Linked DNA regions of Drosophila melanogaster. The protein of the gene in region 2 interacts with the protein of the main gene of each other region in a pairwise test. Each region holds a gene or a part of one and is shown on either strand. Other genes may lie near its edges.

What was found.
Region 1: the proteins of CG12723 (region 2) and Rox8 interact in a two-hybrid assay, tested with the Drosophila melanogaster proteins (one large-scale study listed by BioGRID).
Region 3: the proteins of CG12723 (region 2) and CG15919 interact in a two-hybrid assay, tested with the Drosophila melanogaster proteins (one large-scale study listed by BioGRID).
Region 4: the proteins of CG12723 (region 2) and Ccp84Aa interact in a two-hybrid assay, tested with the Drosophila melanogaster proteins (one large-scale study listed by BioGRID).

What each region holds. Positions count from the first base shown.
Region 1 is NT_033777.3:24,042,499-24,049,884, forward strand, and holds Rox8 (Rox8), read right to left. Parts: upstream 5,768-7,386; 5' UTR 5,615-5,767; exon of another isoform or gene 5,292-5,614; intron 5,224-5,291; exon of another isoform or gene 5,001-5,223; intron 4,871-5,000; exon of another isoform or gene 4,690-4,870; intron 4,515-4,689; exon of another isoform or gene 4,440-4,514; intron 3,994-4,439; 5' UTR 3,168-3,993; coding exon 2,940-3,167; intron 2,769-2,939; coding exon 1,860-2,768; intron 1,793-1,859; coding exon 1,699-1,792; intron 1,648-1,698; coding exon 1,466-1,647; 3' UTR 558-1,465; downstream 1-557. Other genes in the region: CG5986 (uncharacterized protein), read left to right, coding at 5,834-5,929, 5,988-6,590; Atg6 (Autophagy-related 6), read right to left, coding at 6,761-6,866, 6,921-7,386.
Region 2 is NC_004354.4:13,189,086-13,193,844, forward strand, and holds CG12723 (uncharacterized protein), read right to left. Parts: upstream 2,799-4,759; 5' UTR 2,688-2,798; coding exon 1,917-2,687; intron 1,852-1,916; coding exon 951-1,851; intron 888-950; coding exon 682-887; 3' UTR 558-681; downstream 1-557. Other genes in the region: Coq5 (coenzyme Q5), read right to left, coding at 4,247-4,549, 4,603-4,759.
Region 3 is NT_033778.4:16,790,996-16,793,700, reverse strand, and holds CG15919 (uncharacterized protein), read right to left. Parts: upstream 1,060-2,705; 5' UTR 1,045-1,059; coding exon 920-1,044; intron 829-919; coding exon 621-828; 3' UTR 522-620; downstream 1-521. Other genes in the region: CG15615 (uncharacterized protein), read left to right, coding at 16-393; RalGPS (Ral GEF with PH domain and SH3 binding motif), read right to left, coding at 2,350-2,705.
Region 4 is NT_033777.3:6,702,046-6,705,414, reverse strand, and holds Ccp84Aa (Ccp84Aa), read right to left. Parts: upstream 1,332-3,369; 5' UTR 1,269-1,331; coding exon 1,257-1,268; intron 1,202-1,256; coding exon 596-1,201; 3' UTR 512-595; downstream 1-511. Other genes in the region: Ccp84Ab, read left to right, coding at 2,596-2,607, 2,684-3,337.

The DNA.
Region 1 (7,386 bases), on a different chromosome or scaffold from region 2:
GACACATTGAACCAGCTTCAACGCAGCTCGCCCACCCGGAATTTGAGTTCTTTGACTAGTTACTAAACACAGATACAAAAAAAAACTACATGCATATAAAACTATATATATAAAGAAATCTATAGAATACGCTAAATAAAATCGATTTCAAGAAACATCAATTGCATTCTTAATCATCAACAAAATTCTAAGCTATTGGAAACCATTGGTAGTGTATTGAGAATTGAGCAACGGCTGACATCACCAGGTGCATTTAAATTAAGAGAAAGTAAGCAGAAGAATTAAGCATTCATGAAAACTAGTTTCGCAGAAAAACTGCGTCTCACTAGAGAATATTAAAGCTATAAAATTCATTCATGTATGTATGTTATACCTTAAGAAAACTTTTTAGCACAATTGTAAAAGTTAATTACTTTTTAACTATATTTTAGACTCCGCTGAATCCTCCACCAGATTTGTAGTAGTAGTAACCACTTCTATCATCAATGATATAAATTAAAGTTTGAAATAATAATTCCACATCCTAATTCATTACCTCAATATAAAAACCAGCGTCCCTTCGTTTTCTCACTTGTTTTATATATTTTTTTGCTTCTTTATTTTACATTTTACATATTTATATCGCATTTCGTTTTCCACATTGGAAATATACAATATGTATGCTCGAATTTACATTCTCTTAGTGACTAAATTTGTTTTTCCTCTTGTTTTTGCATTCGGCTTGCTTGCTTGCGGCTATCCTTTCATCCCACTGAAACTACCCTCTTTCCGTCTTCAGTTTTCGTTGACACATGTTCCACATAGTTACAATTACAATTTGCTTTGTCACGTTTTTGTTTCGATTGTTTTCTTTTTGTTTTAACTCTGTCGCGCGTAATTAGCATTTTCTCTTTTCAGTTTTTATTTGTTTGTTTTTGTTGAATTTCTCATTCGGTTTATTTTATTTCCGTTTCGTTTATACGCCTATATCTGCTTAAATTAGAAATCATTAAATTAATTTAACACGTACTTAGATTGGATTAGATTGTTACAGCTACCCGCCCATCGCCCGGAGCTTTTCAATTGATGTTCTTTCAGTTGTCGCCGGCGTGGATCACTTGAAGTTGAGCTCCACGCACCGCCTTAACGTTCGACTTTGGGGGGCTATATACCACACCCGATTCCGCTTCCTTCCACCGCAGTCAGCCGCAACCGTAGCCACAACTTCAAAGTGGACACTCGCGCATCCTTAATAATCTCCAGATACATTGCCACCGTCAATGTGGCTGCTGCCGCTGGTCAACGGCATGGCCAGGAGCGGCTCCGACTTTGCTACTACTCGGTATTGTACGTAACCTAAACGTGCGTAATGCGCTTGCAACTGCTGCAGGTGCGGAAGCTGATGCAGCAGAGGTGGTTGTGGCTGCGGCTGGGGGCGACTTCCCGGATGCTGCAAACGGCGTCGAAGCTGGCGTCACATCTCAGCTCATTGGGTCTGGTATTGTGGCATCGCAGCACTGTACATCATTTGGGGGGCAAGTGATCCGTTCGCTGCAGCGGCCGCGGATGCTGCGGCAGCCGTCACACCGGGCACCACAGTTCCGGGCACGCCCCATGCTACATTCGGCGGCACCATGCGGTATCCAGCCGCTGAAAATTGTATGCAAGCTGTTTAAGCCAAGGTCACGATTATTCAGCAACTGAGAAAAGTAAACTTACGGACTCCTCCCGCTTGCTGAGCACTGGTAGGGTAGGCGTAGGGATAGTAGCCCTGCTGCATGTATTGCGTCTGCATCTGGGTTGTGGGATAAGTCTGCAGAAAAGCACAAAGTTAGGGTCAATCTTTAGGTCACTGCGTATTTAAAGAATACAACACTTACCGCAGGTGGATACCAGTAGCCCATCTGCTGGTACGCGTATGGATACTGCGCCGCAATCTGCTGGGGTGTCATCATTTGGCCGGGTATCGCCGCTCCTGTTGCGGCGGCGATCTGTTGCTGCGTCATCATCTGACCGGGCATACCCGCTCCAGCGGCAACCGCAGCATTGGCTGCCGCAACGGCGGCAACATTGGCAGAGGCTGCTGCCGCGGCAGCGGCGGCATTGAGGTTATTGGCCGAGTTATCGCCTCCGTTCTCTTTGCCCCAGAAGCACTTTACCAGGTTTCCATGTACCTCGCTGTTGTGCGTGTGCTCGATGGCGTGGGCGGCTGCCTCCTTGGTAACAAACTTGATGAACGAGAAGCCCTTGTCCTTGAAGACCCGCACGTCCTGGATGGGACCAAACTGGACGAAGTGCTTGTGCATCAGGTCGTCACTGATGACATTCGGCGGGAATCCGCCACAGTATACGGTGGTGTTGGTGGGGCTCGACTGGTTATACACTTCCTCGAAGGTGTGGCGTTGACTTCCCTTTACACCGGACCCATTGCCCGGTCCGCCACCCATTCCGCCTCCCTGGCCTCCGCCCTTGGAAGGCTCGCGTGGTGGTGGCAGCTTGCGCGTGGACCAGTTGGTGCGTATCGAGCGCGAGCCAATCCACTGGCCGTTCATCGCCTGGATGGCGTTCTCTGCCTCCGCCTTTTTCACAAACGACACGAAGGCGTAACCCTTTGACTTCATGGTGTGAGGGTCGCGCACAATGCGACAGTTGGAGATCTCTCCGAATGGGGCGAAAGCCTCGCGCAGTGTTTCTGTCTCAATCTCGGGACTGAGGTCGCCCACGAATATGTGGTGGTGCGAACTGATGTCTGTCTTCGGCTGATTGCCGGGACTGGTGGCCCAGTTGACCTGCGAAGAGCATTCGTTTAATAGGTAATAATCAATTAAGTTCTACATAATTAAAATAACATGAGGGCTTGGTCGTGGGGAATGTGTGTGTTGCAAGAGTGTAGTTTCGAACAAAATGAATGAAAATGACCGCTGTCCACTTGATAACTTAAGAGAAGCTAATCAGCTTACCTTGATTTCCTTTTCGAGGAATAGGCGTTTATTCATGGCGGTCAGAGCTGTTGTGGCTGCCTGGTAGTTGGAATATTCGATGAAGGCATATGGATCGTTGCCCGGTTCCCGAATGATTTTGCAGCTTTTGACGGGCCCCATGGTGCTGAAGAGGGCAATTAGCAGGTCCTCGGACACTGAGCTATCCAGGTTGCCCACGTATAGGGTCTTCGGTTGCGACTCGTCCATGGCTGTCGGATGTCACGGGACTGTGGCTTTTTTGATCTGATTATACACTAGGCTACAGCGACAATCTACTGACTCTACACTAAAACCGGAATTGCAACTACTGCACCTGGCCGCATTAATCGGAAGGGGATGTATCAAAAATTTGCAGATTAAGTTCCTAGCTACGTACAAAATCTAAAGTGTCTGCTAATTAAACAGGTGTATTTGCGGCAATCTAATTGGTGCTAGCTGCTAACAGGAAACTCCAAGAGAGATTTGAATACTTTGATTTTCTACTACTTTCGACTTACTCTCGGCTTGGCTTGATTTTTTTGGATTATATAAACTTTATATGCTCAATCTAGGTAGGTTGATCTATTTGCTTAACGCTGAGGTTCGTCGTTTATTGCTTTATTTTGTTCCTAATCTGGCGCCTAATTGAAAATTTCGTTAAACATCTATATGTATACGTATAAATATATCTGTCCTAACTAAACGCTAATGGAGTGTTTTGGAATATACGATTAGTCGCCTAATATATATGTCTATAATCGGTTGACTTCCTTTCCTGGGGGCCTGGGATTTGGATTCGGGGTTTCTTGGTGTACACTACTTGGTATTTCAGAATTGCTCGATCCTTCTTCGATGATCCGGATGTTGTTGTTGTGATTATAAATAGTTGTCCGTTCCAATATACAGGATTGTATAAATGTACATATGAATACTTGGTTGCGACTACTTATTCTTGCTCTTGTACAAAAATTAGTTAGCTAAGTTAAACAGCGTGAAAGTTCGCAGGCTGAGTGTACTTTTCGGGTTTCGAAGCTGACCCCTGGAATCGTTGCTGCTGTAAAAGAGAGAGGTAAATTTGGGTTAGTTTTGCGCTGATAACCGGAAGAGTGGGACAAGGTCTAATGGCACATGATCGGTGGGCCTTAAAACAGGCGCAAATGATATGGATATAAATCGACTACCCCGCCCCGCCCCCTTTTCGCATGATGGGAACAAAGAAGGCGGCAAAGCAGTGCAGGGACACGCACACACAGACGCACGCTCACACACACTGGCGCACACGAAAAACACGGGGAGAGTGAGTGAGCTATCTTCGGAGCGAGAGAGGCGGGTGGGAAAGGACAGGGGAAAGAGACTGCCTGTCTTTATAACAAAGCGAATGGCCAACAATTGACAATAGCCATTCATTCGCAACAAATTTGCGGGCCTTGCAAAATGATTTAGTTTATAATTAATATATTTCTGTATTCACATTTACAAATTTTTTTTTGGGCCACTCACGCACAGCACACAGAAATGCACACTCAGGCACGCCAGCGAGACGAGGGCGAAAGGAGAACGACGAAAATCGACTAGAAGATGAATGACCGTCGATAACAAAATGAGGAGAAAGAAAAACAGGGAAAAGGAAGAGAAAGATGTGGGAAATTTTGCGAAACCGGCGGGCGGGTGACACACACGGTTGCATTAGATTCGTGTTCTTCTTCTTCACACTTTGCGAAATCAAATTTTAATTTGCATAGAACTAAACTTGATTTTGATTATTTCTGCGGCGGCGGCGCTAGAAAATGTCAGTCAAAGTCACAGAACTGAAGAGACGGCGAAAAGGGAATGGCGGGGTGGTTTTGGTTGCTCATTTGCTGCTTATTTTCTTCGTCTCTTTTTCGCACACACACTGACACATTAGCACCGACACGCACACACACACACGCAGAGAGAGGCGTCTTGCGCTGGTCTTTTTGTTTGCGTTTTCCTCACATGAGTCTCCACTTTTCTTTTGCTTTTGCTTTTTTCCGCTTTTGGCTATTGAGTGTATTTAAACTAATGCCAATATACCAATACCAAGACGATTTGAATGCGGGACTTTTCATTTGCCTTTTCAGCTTGCCGCTATATGTACGTATATGTATGTATCTTGTTCGCTTTTGTGCTGCCATCTTTTAATGCCGCTCCCCCGCCACCAACAACCGCCACGCCTCCGCCCCGACCCTGCTGCCTGACAGCGGTGCCGAAAACTGGGCTTAACAATTATCGTCCCCGCCGCACTATAGTGCATTCGCTTAATGTCCATTGTTCAGACTCGAATTTCGCTGTCAAAATTCGCACTCTCTTCTTTTTTCTTTAATGCGCTCTCTGTGACGTGGCTGCGTTTGTAAATTTACCGCATTTTACTTGCTCTGCACTCTGTTCGCACACTTCATTTGACGGTCAAGTTTAGCCGCTACCGGTTTGTATTAATTTTGCGAAACTTTCAAAGTTGTTAGGGGCTGCAAATGTACGTTGAACGCGTCGCTAAAATTTTACCTTCGTCGTCTAAAATGCGAACTAATTAATGAGATTTTGTGTGCGAGAGCCAGGGCTGCCAACTTGCTGAGAAATAAAAACGCAATGGCGGCAAGATGGGAAATGCAATAAAGAGTATGGACTTGACAAGATTTTTTTATAAAATTACTTACGTAGGGGTATTTAATGGAAATTCAGCGATAATATGACAAGGATCACACATTAATTCGCGACTTTAAGTTATTTGAAGCAACGTTATCGAAAAGGGGGCAACCCTAGGGCAGGCGATAACGCTTGCATCACCGCTTTCTCTCTCTAACACACTCACCGCGGGCGCAAATGCAGCACAAAGCAGACTAGAAATAACAATCGTTATCGAAAAGGTCGTCGAAATGGGCATAAATATTTTTATAAACAGTAAATATATAATTTCTTGTGGAGATCACGTTAAATGTGATGAGCTTTACAGTCGGATTGCGGAGAAAACAGTGAGTATGTTATGTATAATTTTCATAAGATTTTGCAATGTGGCCCTTTTTTTTACAGAACCTGCAACCAGGGGAATACTACTTAGTCAGCAATGGCAAGCGCTTGGAGGGAGAAATTTCATCTGGAGATGTTCACTGCGTTCTCCGCCAGCTCGGTGGCAAAGGAGGATTTGGTTCCATGCTTCGAGCCATTGGTGCGCAAATTGAAAAGACAACCAATCGCGAGGCTTGCCGCGATCTAAGTGGTCGCCGTTTGCGGGATATCAACGAGGAGAAGCGGGTGCGCGCCTGGCTGGAGAAGCAGGGCGAACGGGAACGGGAGGCCGAGGAGCGTAAAAAGCGAAAAATCGAGAAACTGCTGGCCGTGCCCAAGCACGACTTTAAGGACGATAAGTACGAGGAAGCCAGGGCTAATCTGACCGAGAAGGTAAACGACGCCTTCGAGGAGGGACTCAAGCAGGCCGAGGAGAACAAGGAGAAAGGCGTCGAGGAAGCAACTTCCAGTGGCACAAAGAGGAAATCCCCCGCCGTAGACAAGACCAAGGCAAAAAAGAAGAAAAAGGGCACACTCTGGATAGACGATGACATCTCTGGATCCGACTCTGACTCTGACGACAGCGAGGAGGAGCCAAAAACACAGAAAAAAGCTATACAAAACTAGATAAATAACTTTTGAATTAAGTATGTACCAAAGACGTTCTTATTTCAAAATTTACCTGAAATAAACATAACAATATAAATACTTCTCATTTAAAATTTGAAAGATTTAGATTTAATACTATGGGGATAATTAAGTAATTTATAAATATACATTTAAAAGAGAAAGAAAAATCACGGTGACACAAACTGTGAAGAAACCCAGGCCAATCCCCATTTCAGGTTGGTTAGCATGAATTTCAGTGCCTTGGTCCACTGCTCCTCCGAGTTAAACTGGATTCTGTAAGGAAACCATCATTATTATAGGTAAAATCTTTACCATTTCTAAACCTACTTAATAGAATAGGAATTTCCCGTGGAGGGATCGATGATCTTGCCCTTCTCCATCTTGTAGGGCAGCAGGAACTCGGTGTCGCGCTTCTCGACCTCCTTCTGGAACTGGGTAAGACAGTCGAGAAAAGCTACCATGGCAGCATCAAACTTGGTGTCCCAGAAAAACTTAAATCCGCCGCTGCCATAAAGCGGGAGCTCTCGATTCTCGCCGAGCACCTCAACATACGAATGATTTCCAAAGGGTACTACACGATACCGCTCGAAGGTGAGCCCTATCTTACGAGCAAGCGCAGAGAGCAGAAGCACCGTCTGGCCCCAAGCGGCGTTGATCTCTGACCAGTCCACGGATACAGAGGGCAATCGACCCAGCCTAAAGTTATTAATGGTACCGAAATGCCCGGCATGCCAGATGTGAAAGGTGATGTTGAATATGTTGGTGTCGCGCAGTTTGTCCAGCTGCTGTTTCG
Region 2 (4,759 bases):
ATCGCGGATCGGTGGATCCAAAAATATATATGCGCGGTATATAGTCGGAATATAGTCGATTTTTGGTCCGCAGCAGACGCGCGTTCGCCGCCAACGATAACAAACAACTGAGCTGAAAAAAAGGCGAGCGAATGCCTGCAACATGTGGCATGCGGCCTTTCCAGGTGCCCCGCCCACTGGCGCCGCCCAGCCGACCGCCCAACCGCCCACTTTTCACCCAACCAAGCACACAACGCACTCATTCAGCGCGCCGGCTGGCAATTTATGAATGAAAAGCTGAACGGGAAAAGCTCCAAAGAAACCAACGAACGCCAAGTTCAAGGTGAAAAGCCCTTTGGGGGAAAAGCGCGCGCCGGAAAAGCTCAGGAAATGAAAATGCGCCGAGCCAAAGGGAATTTCCTAATGAAATTCAAATAGATAATATGTATGTGCCAAAAGGAAATAAACTAAGATATTATGTCTATATCTCGCATATACTTTGCAATAGAATTAGTTATTTAAATTATTTATTATATTTATTATTATTACGCAATAAATAAACGATCTGTTCAATTTTTCGATAAATAACTTATTTAATAGCAACATAATTTACAATACAAGTAGAGCACAAATGAACGAAGGCTTAAAAAAAAAAAACAAAAAAAAATTTGAAAAGATCCCTAGGTGGAGTGAGTGGTGGACTCAGTAGTGGTGGTAGTTGTGGCCCTGTTGCTGCTGTTGCTGCTGCTGCTGCTGCTGCTGGTGCTGCTGCTGCGCCAAGTTGGCCTGGGCGAAAATGTGCTCCAGCTCGGCATCGGTCAGCTGGTCAAAGATGCCGCCCTGACCACCGATTCCGGCACTACTGGCACTCAGGGCCGACGGTTGGGATCCCACGGGTGGCAGGTAACCTGGAAAATATTCGTTTGAAATATAGCATAATAATATATATCCATAACGTCATCTGAGCTCACCTTCAGCTGGCGCACTTCCGTATGGCGGGAGCAGGGTGATCGAGGGTCGATTCGGCGACGCTGGCGCGGATTCGGTGGGTGGACTATAGAATACCGGCTTCCAGGGCTGCTGGACGGATGGCCGCTGTGGTGGCACCTCCGACGGCGTCTCCGGCTCGGGTGATTGTGGGGGAATCTGCGGCGAGGCTATACCCGTGCCGGATTCAGGGCGGACGGGAGTGGAGCCCGGCAGCGGTACAATTCCGCCGGGGAATTGCGACTCTGGTTGGCCAAAAGTGGGTGGCTGCTGCGGCAATGGTGGCTGTGGAGCAGCCGGAAAGAATTGGCTAGTTGGTGGACTGGGGAAGGCCGGGACCGTGGGTACAGCTGGAACTCCTGGAACGGAGGGAGGTGATGGAATGGCTGGCGCCTGGGGGAACTGGGGAATCTGGGGAAAGCCGGGAAATTGAGGGAATCCGGGAAATTGTGGTATTTGGGGTATCTGCGGTATGGCCGGAATCTGTGGAATGGCGGGAACCTGTGGCACTTCTGGGGCTTCTGGTGCAGCTGGAACTGCCGGCTGGGCGGGCACAGCGGGTTGGGCTGGCACCGCTGGCTGAGCGGGCTGGAAGCTAAAGGTCGGCACACCGGGGAACTGAGGCGGTTGTGGGAACTGAGGGATCACCGGCAAATCCACAGCTGGGGGAGACGGAACACCGAAGGTCACTGTAGGTTGGATGGGTTGAACCGGTTGAAGGGGCTGAACCGGTTGGATTGGGCTAACTGGCTGCAGATGGGTGGTCACCGGTTGCACCGGTTGAAGGGGCTGAATGGGCTGGAGATGATGAACTGGCTGCACTGGCTGCACGGGCTGAACAGGCACTGCCGGAGCAGTCGGAGCATAGGTCTGCACATAAGTGGGCTGCAACAGAAAAGAATGAAATGGTCAACGGGATATTCCACAAGTTTCCTATGTAGCTAACTCACCTGCACGGCATGCACATGGCCATGAGCCGGAGCATGGAAGTGGACAGGCTTTACGGCGGACTGAAAGACCACGGGCTTCTGCAGGTGCTGGTGCGGATAGTTGACGCTGTACGAGGAGACGACCGCATTTCCGGGACGCAGGACGTACGAGGGCGGAGCCACGGCGGTGGACAAAGCGGTGGCCACGCCGGTGGACAAGGCAGTAGCGACTCCGGCGGGAATGGCACTGGCCACGCCACCGGGCAGACCGGTGGGCAATCCAACGGGCAGGGCTGAGGCGACGGCGGGCAGCAGGGCAGCGGGTGCGGGAGCTAAGGCGGGCAGCAAACCGGAACCGGAAACGAGCGGCTTGACCAGACCATGGCCGTATTTGACGAAGTGGCGGCGCGGAGGAGCGGCGGCCAGGAAGGCACTGCCTCCTGGCAGCTGCAGGCTATAGCCGTAGTGGGCGGCATAGGTGCGGGCGGGCCATTGGCCGTGCAGGTGGGCGTGGCCGTGTAGAATGCCACGCTTGTGCTTTCCGGTCGTGACCTCCACTTCCGTTTCCGGTTCGGTAACCACACTGGCCGTTGGGGCACTCTCCGCCACCGATTCCTCTTGTAGCGGGGCATCCTCGGAGGTCACTGTCAAAGTGGGCGTTGTGCTGGCGGGGGGCGTGACCGATCGACTGGTGTGACGCAAACGTAAGCCCGCCTCAGCTCGATGAGAAACCAAGATGACAGCCAAGACCATCAGAAGATGGAGGCTCCTCGAACTGGCCAAGAGATTCATTTCGATTCAGTGGACTTGATTTCTATATGCGTATATTTGGACACTATGTAATATATCGCCTCGCCTCGCGTTTAATCCGTTTGCTGCGATCGCCGACAAGAAAATGAAATGAACTTCCTTGGTCGCTGTTGTATTTATAAAGCGGACATCGCGGCACAGTGGAGTGGCACATACCCACTGTGCATACCAATCGGTGGCACTGGTGGTGCTAGCAATGCACCACCGTCAGCGGCTCATCGGCATGGCATACGGCATGGATTGGGCAGTTTATGACTTTTACGCTGCCATTTCACCTGCCGCAATCGAAGACCCCTCACCCACTGACCACTGACCACTGAGCAGCGCCTCATTATGCTGCGCCACCTGACCACGCACTGTGGTACCGTAGATTGTGCGCATATATATGGTATGTATATTCCTCAAGTATGGAATATTCCTACTACACTTCATATCTAAGTTTACTTCTTATTCAGATATCGAGATTATTATCATAAAAATCTAAAAGGCTAAAACTCTATATAGTTTGCCAACAACTTTGCCCACTAGTCCCACTGATTGCCTGGCCCCGCTCCACTGTCCCATTGGCCGGAATCCACCTACGCATGCGCAGCACGTTGCCGCACGCACCAAACTTTTGCTTTCAATGGCCTGCATGTTCCGCATGCTTTTTGTGCTCAGTTTTTTTTGTTTTTTATCGCCGGACTCTTTTCACTTTCGATTGCCGGAGATGGAAGGTCCGAAGGTTTATGATTTGGCTGCAATTTAGATACAAATCAAATGTGTCTCCGCTTACATAATCCGGCCAATAATATGGGCGGCTATTCGGGTGTCCAATCCGTGTTAATCAGTCGCCGGGTGAAAGCATAATAAAGCCATTGTAATAAAAGCAAAAGCGCACAATTGCAAAGCACCAATTAGCAATTACCTATTAAGCATGGCACGGTCAATTATTTTGATGGCATTTCAATGCTATTATTTGAATTTCGTTAAAATTCAACATTCACACGCATAAATTTCACCTGCACTACATCTGATGGCGAACTGAAGTCAATAGATAAGTGGATAGTTTCTGCATTATATCACATCCCATCGCCGTAAATGGACTTTCGATTAGCCTACATGGAGATTTTCACTTTTTTTTGGAAACGACCCGTTGGGTGTGTGGAATTTAAATCGATTACAGTGCCTTACACCTGGCATCTGGTACAGTTCGGTTATTGGGCTACCACCATATCGCCCTTTGCATCTAAGTGGGTCTGGCACACAATCCTCAAGGTCTTTCCCAGGCCTTGCCGCCGGAGATGTCATCAGTTTGCCGTTTGGGTTTGCCTTTTGGCACATGAAGTACATATATTTGACAAAGAGCTACATAAACCTCAAAATGTAAACATACAGAAATAAAAGCCGCCAGAGGAGCTTGTTTAATTCGATGCTTTATGACCTGCCCGACGTGAGCAGCATGAAAAAACGCAAAAAACCAACAATATAGATTATAGTTAAGCCCCATCAAATGGTCTTAGGATTTCCTAATCGCTTACAACAAATATCATCCTCGGCTGTCACAGTTTGAAGCCGGAGTGAATGCTGACCACGCCGAAGGTTAGGTTCTCGTAGGACACCTGATCGAATCCGGCCTGCTCGATCATTTGCTTGAATTGCTCCTGCTTGGGAAACCGTCGGATGCTCTCAACGAGATACTGGTACGCCTGCCACTGACCAGCCAGCAATTGGCCCATGGGCGGAATCACCTGGAAGGAGTACTGGTCATATAGCCATTGCATCGTTTCGTTCGTCAGATGACTGAACTCCAGGCACATGAATCGTCCGCCCGGCTGCAGCACTCGATACGCTTCAGAAAGAACCTTAGATGGAAGGGAGAAATAAGTACAAAGAGTACATTTCATGATCCGCCTACCTTATCCACATGTGTGCAGTTCCTGATGCCAAAGGCAATAGTGTAGGCCGTAAAGCTAGCGTCCGGGAAGGGCAACTTCTCGGCATCGGCGCACTGCCATGCGACGGTGCAGTTGGACAGCTGGTCGGTGGTAAGTCCCAGCCTCTTGGCCCGCTCC
Region 3 (2,705 bases), on a different chromosome or scaffold from region 2:
TCCAACTCTTTTCAGGAATGGAAGGAGGCATGGAAGCAGATTTGGGTGCCCGGCTGGAAGGAGATCTGGGTGCCTGGATGGAAAAAGATCTGGAAGCCAGTGGTCATTTCAGAATGGTTCCCCTCGCCCGATCACCACGATCATCATCATCATGAGCACCATGATTGGGATCGCAAGGACACAGGTGTTACGGCCACCAGGACGGCAGATGGCAAAGATAAGGTGGTCTGGAAACGAGATGACACCAATGCCGCTGGCAAGCCAACAATGCTGCAGCCAGTGGCCAGCGCCGACTTCCAGGCCAAGTCTCTGGAGGCAGCTAAATCCCCCGTAGCAGCACCTGCCGCCTCGGTGGCCACCACCTCGCAGTCATTCAAGTTTCCCGGCGCGTAGGAGGTCATTGCATCACCTAAACGGTTGCATAACAGCGCCCGGTTCCAAGCTCCTTGTAAATAGTCGTAAACCAGTCGCTAGCTCATAAGGCCATCCATTTCCACTTCCATTTGCCTTGGCGCCACTTTAAATTATCTCTAGACTTTAATTACCAGTGAATATAAAATAAAATATAAACAACTAAACCATAAATAATCTTAGCCTATGTTTCAGTCTCAGTGCTATTTTTAGGAGCGATCCTTTTCCGCCTCCCATTCATTGGGCACATTGGGCAAGGGCACCCACTCGTTGTGAATGGTGGGTGTCCAGACCTTTTTCCACACCGGCTCGTAGATCTTCTTGGCCCGCCAGTACTTTACCCAGCGAGCGTTCCACGTCGTCTTGTTGACCCAGAAGCCATCGGCCTGCGGATCGAGGGTGTCTGTGTGGCTAACGCTGGGTTTTTCGAAAGGGAGAAAGGAGGATGGATTAGTGGATTAGTTAGTGAAAGTGGTCTAGTGGCTGGCTAGTTGCGTAATCCTCTCACATGGTGGTCGTCTTGCCGGCCAGGCCGTAGCTGAAGAAAATGACCAATATTACTGTCAGCATCAGCAGGGGCCTCATTTTAATCCATGGATACGCCATCCTGTCGCCACTTTTCGCCGCTTTCATGTTTCGCAATCGACTGGCGAGGCTATTAGCCAATCTTCACGTTTTAAAGGCCTCCAGTTTCACGGCAAGCCGAGCTCCCTAATTGTGATTCAGTGCGTCTGTGCAAATGAATTGCAAATTCCCGCACTTTGCACGATCTGATTGGGTTGTGAATAACCCTAGATGCCTTATATAACGCACATTTCTTTTCTTTCATTTTGTAGTTTATTTTGTTTTTGTTGCATTTCTTTCTTAAATGTAATGTAAAACACTGCAAATGATAATCTGTATGTGTGACAAAGCTTAGGTGTTACAATTCAATTTCTCAACCGAAAAAAAGAAACACTAACATTACTTTCGTTTCCTATAATTTACGCATGCATTTGTTGTTGATACGTACATATGTACTTTATAGCTCTATTTATGTCTAGTGCATCAACTTAAGGCAGATATAGAGATTAACGGATGTTGATCATGATAGTGGTAGCGATACACAATATTAAAGCCCTTAGTTACGCGTAGAAAGTTCGTTGGATTTTTGATTTTTCGTTACAAAGTTAGGAGCTGGGCAAATCGAATTTGGATTCGTTTGCTGGCCAACAGTGTTTGTGTAGACACATAAATTTATAAACTAATATGGCACAGTCTGCGCAAAATTAAGTTGAGTAAACGTCCAAGTAATTTACTTAATATAACATTTTACAAATACAAAGTACAGCAAAGACAGCACATTAACAAAAAGACAGCCCTGTTGCCAAGCTAAGCGAATTCGGAAATAAACTGGTTTTTAGCTAGTAGTATTGGATCCCATTTACAGATTTTACTACATTTCTAAATTCTGGGTCACTGAACAATCTTAAAATAAATATATATTCGATGACAAGCCGTTTTATCAATTCCGTTTCCGATACATTCAAATTCAAATAAAATTGGACTTTTATAACAGGGCCATTACAAATTTGGGATTCTAATTTCCCTGCGTTGACGGTTTAGTCTGTTGTTGTTGTTGTTGTTGTGATTGTGTGGCTACTTTCGTAGTACTGCTCCTCCTTTACTATATCTTCGTGTTCTCATTCGGTGTCAGTCTTTTGAAATACCATTTTGAAATCGATTCATCTGATGCAAGCTGCAATTTGTTCGTTCGTTGTGGTTGCGGGAATGTTCTGTGGTTGCCTCGTTTCAGGGAGTGAGTGAGCGATGTGGTGGGTGGGTGTTTTTTTTTTTGGCTGTGCACGTTTCAAGGTTTAAAGCTAACTAAACTAGATAAACTAGGCTACAATGAGTACAATATATATTCGAGTTTCTGTGTGTTCTTGGGCGCCCGGCTTATTCAAAGGACATTAGGTTGGTGGGCAGAGGTTTGGGCACTCGCATGGTGGCCAATTTGCAAATGGCATTCGACCAGAGATGCGTCATCTGGGGACTGTCCGTCCGGAAGCGATAGACGGTGCCCAGAGTTCGGTGGCACAGTTCGAAGGTGTTCTTGTGCTTGGTGTTATCGCTCACGTGGGCATACCATCCATCCAATGGACACACTTTGCACGGTTCCCGCTTAAAGTCGTTGCGTTCGCTTCCTTTAAAGGATTTGGGTGGGAAATACACCAGCGAGTTGGCCCAAATCTGTAGCCAGTATCGTTGCCAAGATGCCACCGCTGGCTTCCTTCCCTCCTTTTGAACTGTTT
Region 4 (3,369 bases), on a different chromosome or scaffold from region 2:
TTGGAAGTGTACTATTTGTAGTCAGTCTATTCTATTGTTTAAATACAAAAAATTAATGGTAATAGGTACGAGCAAAGAGGGGAATGGGAAAGCCGGTCACTGAAGTTCCATTTAGCAAAATCAAATCGAAATCCGGCAAACGAAAAAATCGTTTATATTATATATCCGTTAATTGCTTTTATAAGCACACATGAATATTTCACACCGATCTGATTATGATTTATTATTCGTTGATAGGATTGGCCAACGTCCAGACCCGAATCGAACATCATAGATATCTCAATGGAATGGAGCGATTGAAAGAAAAAATTCAATTTGACTTTAAAACTTTGGAATTTTGGAATTTGGAATTTCAATGTCGCAGCCTAATTCAATTAATTGGCCACACAGCCACTCTAATTTAGCCCTCACGAAGCAAAAGTAATTACAATAAATTGTATTGCTTCGTGAATCGAATTGAGCCCCAGGAAATACATATCCTTTGGATAGGATACAGTGATATAACCTTTTTAAATGTGAAATATATTTTTATATATATAGAAGTCGTTCGTAAAACTATAACAATAAAGAGCTGGGCAATGTGGAATGTCAGTTCTCAGGGGTGGTAGGCAACAGCGGGGGCGGCGTAGTGGGTGGGAGCAGCATAGGTGGCATATGCAGCGGGGGCAGCATAGTGAGCCACTGGGGCCACAGTCTTGACCACAGCAGGAGCAGCGTAGTGGGCAACTGGAGCCACGGTCTTGACCACAGCGGGAGCAGCGTAGTGGGCGACAGCAGGGGCGGCGTATTGGGCAACGGGAGCGGCGACGGTCTTCACAACGGGGGCAACGGCGACGGCCTTGACCAGGGGCTCACGGTTGACAACGGCGTTGAATCCGTTGATGGGATCGGCGGTGTACTGGACGATCCTCTTGTAGCCGTCAGCGTCGATCAGGGAGTACTCTCCGCGTACCACATCTCCATCGCGCTCCTCCACCTGTCCCTTGTTGTCACCGGTTAGCTTGTCATCGACTCCGTAGGAGAAGCGGTACTGGGGGTGGGGGTCGTACTCCTCGGCGGCCTTGACCACGACCTTCTGGGCGACGGCCACGGGGGCGTGGGCGTAGGTGGCCACCGCTGGGGCAGCGTGGTACACCTGTGGGGCGGCGATGGGGGCATAACCGGCGCTGGCCACGGCGACGAAGGCGAGGGCGAAGACAAACTGGGGAACATATTCGTTAGAGAAACGGGTTCTGGTGGGATACCACAGGACTCACCTTGAATGCCATTTTATAGGGTTTTTGGATTCGTGGGTTAGTTCTTTGCGGAAACGGTGCTGATGGCTGAATGATACGGTTTCTGGCCGGCCAGCGGTTTTATAGCTCCCGCTTGCAGTTTCTGCTCAGGTGAAGCAAGGTGCTTACGCTTGGCCTTCTGAATATCATGCTCCAAATTAGCGCGAAGTCACCGCTCTGCGAAGTCAACGGCAAAGTCGGCAGAGACGCCGGCAGAGAACCAAGAGAGGAGAAGGGATTTGCGAATGCGAGATGCAGTCCAATTATTTAGAAAGGATTCGGCGGATTCGCGCGGTGCCCACGTTAAAATTGGTAGTTGGGAATGGATTGCATCTGCTAATAGCGTTTCGATTATCCAAGATATTTTAAGGATGGGATCGTGGATGTCTGGTGGGTGGCCTTGATTCCCACAGACTTCGCAAAAGGGCATTTATTTTGAATGAAGCAGCGATTTTCTATATATTGTACAAAAATAATGCATTGTGTAATATATTTTTAACGTTTATGTTCTAAGACCCATAAATGCCAAACTCTTAAATGTGTATCTGATAAATTATTATCTGAGTGTAAATAGAATGTTAGGTATTTAGATGTAGCTAAGTAGTTGTGTTCCTTAGGACACTAACGCAGACCCAACTTAGCTTTTAGTTTTTAGAACCACAGTTTTTGTAGTGTCAACCAATTTCAAAAAATATTAATCTTTTTTCAAGAGTTTTTTCTTATCCAGCACAGTGTAAAGTTCATTCAACTCTTTAAGATTGCAAATCCGTTCGTATAATTATAATCATATATGTATAGAGTATTTAAAGAATATCAATCAGATTGCACAGTGAACTCTAAAGATTCGAAAATCTTTAAAAAAACCTAATCAAAATTTTGCGATTTGCTTTGTAAGAAAAAAATATATGATCAGTATATCTTCTTAAAGCGATCTTATACAGCGTTATATAACAAAGTAATTAGCCACACATTGCGGCCGGCAAAGCCCTTTCGGTATTACGCAAACCTTTCCCCAAAGATCTTTCACTCTTTCGGTGCTGACGGGTTTAGAATCTGTGGCCACAAGCATTTGCACACCCACTGAGCTTAGCGCCACGAACAGGAAGTACAAGTTATTGCCCGACAACAATCGCAGTCGAGAAGCATTTAATATATTTCGCTGTCACCGCGAAAATAACACGTGCTGTCGGCGTATTGGGCCAAAGCAGAGCAGAGCTGGCAGCTTGATTTACTATAAAAGTTGTCGATCGGACACAGAAAAGTATCATTCGCAGATCCAGTTCACTTCTGTAAAGAACTACCAATCAGCACTCCTAGCAACATGGCCTTCAAGGTGAGTCATCTCGATGGAAATCCGGGATCAACTGTATACGAAATTCCGGTTGGATATCTAACGCTCTTGAATTTAGTTTGTCTTCGCCCTCGCCTTCGTCGCCGTGGCCAGCGCCGGTTATGCTCCCATCGCCGCCCCACAGGTGTACCATGCTGCCCCAGCGGTGGCCACCTACGCCCACGCCCCCGTGGCCGTCGCCCAAAAGGTCGTGGTCAAGGCCGCCGAGGAGTACGACCCCCACCCCCAGTACCGCTTCTCCTACGGAGTCGATGACAAGCTAACCGGTGACAACAAGGGACAGGTGGAGGAGCGCGATGGAGATGTGGTACGCGGAGAGTACTCCCTGATCGACGCTGACGGCTACAAGAGGACCGTCCAGTACACCGCCGATCCCATCAACGGATTCAACGCCGTTGTCAACCGTGAGCCCCTGGTCAAGGCCGTCGCCGTTGCCCCCGTTGTGAAGACCGTCGCCGCTCCCGTTGCCCAATACGCCGCCCCTGCTGTCGCCCACTACGCTGCTCCCGCTGTGGTCAAGACCGTTGCTCCAGTTGCCCACTACGCTGCTCCTGCTGTGGTCAAGACTGTGGCCCCAGTGGCTCACTATGCTGCCCCCGCTGCATATGCCACCTATGCTGCTCCCACCCACTACGCAGCTCCCGCCCACTATGCCGCCCCCGCTGCCACCTACACCTCGTACTCGGCTCCCGCCGTCGCCTACCACCACTAGATCCTGGCTAAAATCGACGCTGTACATATATA